Linked DNA regions of Drosophila melanogaster. The protein of the gene in region 1 purifies or fractionates together with the protein of each later gene. This does not show direct contact. Each region holds a gene or a part of one and is shown on either strand. Other genes may lie near its edges. The genes, in order: Aldh7A1 and CG1227.

Evidence for each region.
Region 2: the proteins of Aldh7A1 (region 1) and CG1227 purify together in Drosophila melanogaster (affinity purification with mass spectrometry, with the first as the bait; one large-scale study listed by BioGRID). This does not show direct contact.

Annotation. Positions count from the first base shown.
Region 1 is NT_037436.4:19,267,091-19,271,015, reverse strand, and holds the start of Aldh7A1 (aldehyde dehydrogenase 7 family member A1), read left to right. Parts: upstream 1-2,102; 5' UTR 2,103-2,167; intron 2,168-2,555; 5' UTR 2,556-2,556; coding exon 2,557-3,925. Other genes in the region: CG14085 (uncharacterized protein), read right to left, coding at 1,340-1,443, 1,502-1,576.
Region 2 is NT_033777.3:7,247,908-7,251,832, reverse strand, and holds CG1227 (uncharacterized protein), read left to right. Parts: upstream 1-2,094; 5' UTR 2,095-2,412; coding exon 2,413-2,528; intron 2,529-2,588; coding exon 2,589-3,183; intron 3,184-3,241; coding exon 3,242-3,376; intron 3,377-3,431; coding exon 3,432-3,548; 3' UTR 3,549-3,682; downstream 3,683-3,925. Other genes in the region: Obp84a (Odorant-binding protein 84a), read left to right, coding at 1-29, 313-537, 593-657, 711-837, 898-992; Dtwd2 (DTW domain containing 2), read right to left, coding at 1,138-1,813, 1,876-1,955; CG10053 (uncharacterized protein), read right to left, coding at 3,714-3,925.

The DNA.
Region 1 (3,925 bases):
AGAACGTGTTGAAATTTAGCTAAGTAAGAGGTATCTGATAGTGGAAGAAGTCGATTATGGTTTTCTTGTGATAAAAATAGTATATGCGAAAATAAATTTTGATCTGCAATACATGTGTACAATTTCAAATTCTTCTGGAAAATCAGCATTGATTGTAATAGGTTATCAGAGACTTTTTTCTTGAAGTTTATGCTGGATTGACATTCTGCAATGGCTGATAAGTATTTATTTCTATATTTATTATTATATTTTTATATAATGTATATGTAGAACTGGAAACGGCTGATAATGTTTTAAAAAGAGTAGCCGAGAAGCATTTATAAAGGACACCGAGCTAAGTCAAACTTAGTATGAAAACTTTAATTCAAGAGCAATGCACAGCGAACTAGAAATTGTTGCGGTGCTCACAAGTCTACTGATTTTCTTATCGGGAACAGGATCGGCGCAATTCTTGGGGAACATCTGTGGAGAAAGAAGGGATGGCCTGTCGCCAGATATAGTTGGTCCCTGGACGGCCATCCTGCACCATTTCGGACGCATCGTTGGCGTGGGAACCCTGATCCACGAGCGATTTATCCTGACAGATGTACATTGTGGTGACTCCATTGGAGTTATTAGAGCACGGTTGGGAGAGTACGGAAGAATTGGTTCTGAGCTGGCAGAAGACCACATAGTCGCTGCATTCTTCAGTAACGCCAACTTTAATCCGGAAACGCAGGCGAATAACATGGGCCTAATGAAACTGCTGCGAACCGTAGTATACAAAGAGCATATAATTCCGGTCTGCATTCTTATGGACTCACGGATGCAGACGTTCGCCGATGAACTGGACTATTTCAATGGAACTACATGGAAGAACTCGGACAAATCACCCTATGCTGAGGTCCAAAACTGTGATCCGAATGCCGCAGGCATGTGGAAAACTGGACCATGGCCAGTTCTGTGCCGGCCACAAAGATCTGGACTCCTGTGACGAACCATCTGGCGCAGCCTTGACCCGTGAAATTGACTACATTGGGCCAAACCGGACAGTTCTGTTTGGAATCGCGAACTCCGTCGAGGTGAAGTGCTCCAACTCGCGAACTTACACCGATGTGGTGCAATTGCATCAATGGATCAGTATGGTAATCTATTCCTCCAACACCAATGATGGTATGGACAAACCACACAATACTACTCATCTGCCCGAACCTGTTTTTGAATTAAAGAGCACAAGCTTTTCAACCAATTCTAGGATAAAATAAAGCTTACATAAACTGTTTATTTTCATTTTACTAAATAAATATATAGCATTTTTTTAAACCATTTTCTTAGAAATCGAAATGTAAGTTTTACCTACCATCTTATTAATTTAATGGCCGCAAAGGAAGCGTAGCGTGGAAAATCCAGCTTTCCACCCACAACTCCGGAGCAAATTGGTTCCTGGAGTACCCGCTGATGTGTCTGTTATGTGGAGATGGGTTACGTAATTTCCAACAAAGTCAGTATTAGGGTATTGCACCTGGTAAAACTCGAGATCACGCTGCAGTAAAATGGGCACTCTGTCCATTAAGTTTCCCTCTTCGAGCACCTCCATTATGTAGGTCCTGTTTCAAACACTTTAACAATTAACTTTCAACGGCAAACAAACTGCTAAATATGTGCCAACTAACAAACATTTTATTTAGTTCACTTGTTGCCAGGGAAACAGAAGATTAAGCCAATCGAAAGCGTAAATCGGATATGAACAGCGATATTTTATCAGGACATTCGAAAAATGCGAAGCTTAACTGATAACTAAAACAAATATGAATAATAAATACATTATACTGAAATTAGTGCAACAGTATCAATAGGTTCGCATTTAGTATACTAATTATTTGCGATGGATCCTAGGGAAATGATCAAAACCAACACATAAAATATTCGACTAACCATCTGAAAGTATGCTACTTTTTCATGACCACGCTGCACTCAACCTCTCAATTCTTTTAATTCAATTGATAAGAACCAGGGGAGCTCCCCTCCCTCCCTCTCTCCTAACGCATTCAATTCAGTTTGCGACTGCGATAAGCTGCCCACAAAAGCCGATTTGTCCCGCTGGTTCAGCATTCAGAATCCGCCGTCAGTTGATAATTGACTTGCGACTCGGCCAGTCAGTCGTTCCATCGATCCGGACACCTACCAAGTGAGTACCTTCTAGTGGAGATGCTATCAGTGGATCCGCTCTGCTGGGGATCTGAAAACAAAACTTTCCAGCCAGCAACCAGAGAACAGACGGAGCTGTTATCGCTCGATAAGAGCGGTATCAGCTCTTAATCAGTAATCCATAAATCTCCTCCCGTTCTCCTCCGCCAGAACAACAATTCTTCGTAGAAATAACCCTGGATCTTAACATGTCCCCATAATAAATAGTATTTAATTCAATCACAAGCTTCTATGAACTATTTAATAAATCTTTATTTAAATAATTTGGTCTGTAGATAAACTATAATCTTTGATATTAAGATACTGAAAATGTGGATCACTGATAACAAATTTATAATATATGTAAATATATGTTTTTAATTATGCAGCATGTTGGCACAATTGAGAAATATTTCGAAGCTGGCGCTGCCGCGCCGCCTCGTTACCCAAACCGCCAGCTACTCATCGTCCTCGTCATATCTCATTGACCAGCCGGAGTACAGTTTCCTGAAAGAATTGGGACTGGAGCGCGACAATCCAGGTGTTTATTCGGGTCAGTGGCAGGGTCGTGGGCCATCCGTTACCAGCTACGATCCCGGAACTGGTCAACCGATTGCCAAAGTGCGTCAGGGAAATGTCCAGGAGCTCGAGCATACCATCGGGCTGGCGGTGGAAGCCTACAAGCAGTGGCGACAGGTTCCAGCTCCCGTTCGCGGCGAAATAGTGCGCCAAATCGGCGATGAGCTGAGAAAGTACAAGGAACCACTGGGAAAGCTCGTCTCCCTGGAGGTGGGCAAAATCTACAGCGAGGGACAGGGCGAGGTTCAGGAGTTCATAGATATCTGCGACTATGCGGTTGGCCTCTCAAGGATTTACTCCGGCCAGCTGATCAACTCGGAGCGTGCGGATCATTCGATTCTGGAGGCCTGGCGTCCGCTGGGAGTGGTGGGCGTTATTTCGGCCTACAATTTTCCCAATGCTGTGTTCGGCTGGAATGCTGCCATCGCCCTAACCACCGGCAACAGTGTGCTGTGGAAAGGAGCTCCCAGCACTCCCTTGGTCTCGGTGGCGACCACAAAAATTGTGGCTGAAGTGCTGCGTAGGAACAATCTGCCGCCGGTGGTGACCCTCTGCCAAGGAGGAACCGATGTTGGTCAGACCTTGGTGGCTGATAAGAGAGTTAACCTCGTTTCCTTCACCGGCAGCTGCCAAACTGGTCGGGATGTGGGTGTTGAAGTGCAGCGCAGATTCGGCAAGGTGATCCTCGAGCTAGGCGGCAATAATGCCCTAATCATCGATGAATCTGCCAACGTGAAGATGGCCCTGGACGCCGCACTTTTCGGCTGCATTGGCACCAGTGGTCAAAGATGCACCACCACCAGGAGGATTATTGTCCACGAAAAGCTGCACGATCAGTTCGTAAAGGAGCTGGTTGGTAAATATAAGCAGCTAATTTCCAAGATTGGACACCAGCTCGAAGCTCAAACTCTGGTGGGTCCCGTGCACACGCAACAAAACGTGGAGAACTACAAGGCGGCCATCGCGGAAGCGAAATCCTTAGGAGGAACGGTGGCCTTCGGAGGTAATGTCATCCAGCGGGATGGTTTTTACGTAGAGCCCACAGTGATCACTGGATTGCCGCACGATGCCAGCGTTGTCCATCGCGAAACCTTTGCACCAATTGTGTACATCCTCAAAGCCAAAAACGTGGACCAGGCCATCGAATGGAACAATGAGGTGGAACAGGGCTTATCCTCTG
Region 2 (3,925 bases), on another chromosome or scaffold:
TTGTGCGGATGAGAATTTAATACCGTATGGTAAGTGGAGTAATGTACCAACTCTGAATAAATACAGCTACAAAGATTCATTTAGTGAGAAATTATCTATAATTGAACAATCACTGAAAAGCTAGATTCTTTTGTGTGAAGTTCATTAAAAGTATACTTTATTGGTACTCAATTTCCGGAAATAATATGTCAAATTATTGTAACTGTGCATGGCACAATGAAATCTATTCAATGCATGAGAATGTGATCTATAAAAGGTCAGTCACAGAATCCCATCCAGCACTTTGTTTGTTCAAGATGTATTCCGCGTTAGTTAGAGCTTGTGCTGTCATTGCTTTTCTGATCTTGAGCCCGAATTGTGCCAGGGCTCTACAGGATCACGCCAAGGATAATGGTGATATTTTCATCATAAACTATGATAGTTTCGATGGCGATGTGGATGACATATCCACCACCACTTCAGCTCCTAGAGAGGCTGACTACGTAGATTTTGACGAGGTTAATCGTAACTGCAATGCTAGTTTCATAACGTCGATGAGTGAGTGCAAAGGTTAACGAAGGCAATATATGACTACATTTATCGCCTCTTTCAGCCAATGTCTTGCAGTTTAATAACACTGGGGATTTGCCAGATGACAAGGATAAGGTAACCAGCATGGTAGGTGTGCTTTGCAGATCCTTCGCCTCCCGATACTCAAAGATTACTTGCAGTGCTATTTTCACTGCTTTTTCGAAAAGTCCGGTTTGATGACGGACTATAAGTTAAATACGGATCTGGTGCGCAAATATGTTTGGCCAGCCACTGGCGATTCCGTTGAGGCCTGCGAAGCTGAAGGCAGTGAGTGTTCTAGGCAGAACTTTTTAATTACAAACGAAATCTTTAATGTGTAATCCTCAGAGGACGAGACGAATGCTTGCATGCGGGGCTATGCCATCGTCAAGTGCGTGTTTACTAGAGCCCTCACGGATGCTAGAAACAAACCCACTGTATGAATAACATCAAAGGTCACATCTCGGACTTATCAGTAGAAAATTATAATGTTAGCGTCACTAAATCAAATACGGCTACGACCGGAACACAAAATTGGCTATAAAGCACAGGCACCTGCAAGTTATTTGGTATTTTCTGCCCCGGCTATCACGTTTCCTCATTGCCATCGCAGGCGGTGTTTCTAAGCAGACGGCTGAGCCGCTTGCCAATGGGCTTGGGGTACTGGTTGTTCTTCAATAGAAACTCCTTGGACTGGTGCTCCACGGCTCCGTTGTCTAGTTGGTACTTGCACAGCGTGTGCAGCGGTCGCACGAGCGTTTGCCTCAGCTCTGGCCGAGATTCCAGCACTGCCAGGCATTGCGCAGCGGTCTCTAGTGTGCTAAGGCATCCTTCAGTAGGCTGTGTACGGATGATGTAGTCACTTATACCCACGGCGATGAGTTTCACCTGTCGCAGGCGGTGTAGAGCCGGACTGCTAGCGTAAATGGCTTTAGCCTGAGGCCAGGTACCATCGATGAGCACCAGTGTATAAGGACCCGCACTGTGGTCCACCTCTTCCAGTGGGACCGAGTCCCGACTGGGATACAGAAGCAGTGTTTGTGGAGAGTCCAAAATCCTCTGCAGATCAGCATGGTTTCTATGGTTTGGAAACCGCTTGCCTTTGTAGACGACACATTTTCCCGGTTCCAAACCCAACTGCAGCATCAGTGCAGTGCGTAGCGATCTCTTCTCCTCTGCAGGGTGTTGCAGTATAACAATCTGTGAGGACACCGCCTCAGGTGGATGCGGTAAAGCCGGGCACCAGCAAACAACCACGGGTCGTCTATAATAGAGTTCATGAAAATACTTTAATTTTTATGGCAGATTCCCAGCTTCACCACTCACTTGCATTTCTCGCACTTGTTGCGTCTGTTGGGCGGATCGGCGCTGATGCCCACGAGGTCCAGCCACGCGTCATCCTCCATACTTATAATTGATTAAATTAGAAAAATGCTAAGTTTATATTCCGCACGATAAGAAATCCGTAAGCAACAATTCGCAACTAGGTGGCAACGCACACAGCCACATGGCAAATATGACCGCCCTGTCTTCGAATCAGCTGTTTGGAGTGCAGTGAAATTGCGATTATGCGATGACAGAATCTTGAATTCCTTTAATCTATACACCAAGGAATCAAAATAAATATTAATTTATTAATACGTCAAGAAACTAAAATCGTAAAAATAATACGAAAGTGCCTAGTTTTTAAAGTTAAAGTTAATATAGAATCTTACAAATATGGTTAAAAATCACCGAACTTCATAAATTCGTTCCAGTATAAACATTCCACTTCAGCTTTGTGTTTTCTATTTAGATTTTGTATGTGAATTGAACTAGTTGTTAAGCTTAAAGTTGTGAAGTACATAGCATAATTTAAGAAAAATGCAGAGTATAGGATGGACGCTGATCATGAAACGCGGCTGCCTCTTTAGTTGCCGCAAGGAGACCCTGAACATAAACGGATCTCGATACACAATCCGCGAAAGGCTGGCGACGGGGTTTGTACCACATTTTTCCCACTATCTCCTCTGATATATCTAATCTGAGTGTTTAAACAGGGGCTTCAGTCTAATCGACCTTGGGGAAAACGCCTCCACGCGACGTAGCTATGCGATAAAGCGCATCACCTGCCACAGCATCGATGATCAGAATATAGCTCTGCGAGAAATCGAAAACTGTCGAAAAATTGACTCGGAAAACGTGATCCGGGTAGTGGATTACGAGCTGAAGGGCCAGGCGGACATAGTTATAAACACAACGAGCACCTTGTTCATTGTGCTTCCCTATTACAAGCACGGATCTCTTGCGGACCACCTTCAGCTGCGATCGCGGAAACAGGACCACATGCCCGAGGCCCAGATCCTGCAAATCTTTCTGGGCGTCTGCGAGGGATTGAAGGCCATCCACGAGGCAATGCCGGTGCCTCTGGCCCACCGAGATCTAAAAACGGCCAACATCTGCCTGTCGGACTCTTTTGAGCCAATTATTGTGGATCTCGGGTCAATGACAGAAGCCCGACTGCAGATTGTGGGCCAGACGGATGCTCAGCGCTTGCAGGACGAAGCCGAGGAGAGGAGCTCCATTGTCTACCGGGCTCCAGAGTTATTTACCGTGAAAACATATTGCACAATTGACGAGCGCACTGACATATGGGTAAAGCAGATCCAAGAGAGCGTTATTGAAGTTCTTCCTTAACATTTCCCTCTTTCAGAGTCTTGGCTGTGTGCTCTATGCAATGTGCTACTTTAATTCACCCTACGATCCCATCTACGAGCGAGGTGACAGCGTGGCTTTGGCTGTGCTCAGTGGGAACATAAACATTCCAGAGGATTCAATTTACACAGAGGTAATAAACCTTTTTTTTATATTGTAAAGGAAACTAATTCCAAATATTTGTCTAGGACATGCACGAATTAATTAAGTACATGCTGCGAACAGATCCAATGGAACGGCCATTCGTGTTTAGTGTTATCGAAAGGACCCACGATCTGATACAGAAACTGGAGGGTCGCTTGTAGCTCCCACTAACTGGATTACAACTCATTTATAGACATTCCTCCAAACCAGATACACCGCTTACTGTTTTTTGACTACTTATTGTAAAATATTTTAAACCTGCTGATTTTATGAAATTATGTGTAAGCAATCAAGCTAGTTTTTTTATTTTATTTTATTGATTGGAGCTAGTGTTCGTCACGAGTGAGTCCTGGACAGTTGGAGCCCAGATCTTCGGCGTCATCGTAATGGGTCCCACACCAATAGCAGAAGCAATAGGCTGTGCGCAGGTAGCCAGTGAGGAGTTCTAATTGCTCCGAGGGACTGTATGGTTCTTGCTTAGGTGGCACCTCGACTTCAGGATCGTCGGCGTCGCTCTGTGATTCATCTTCATCTTTTG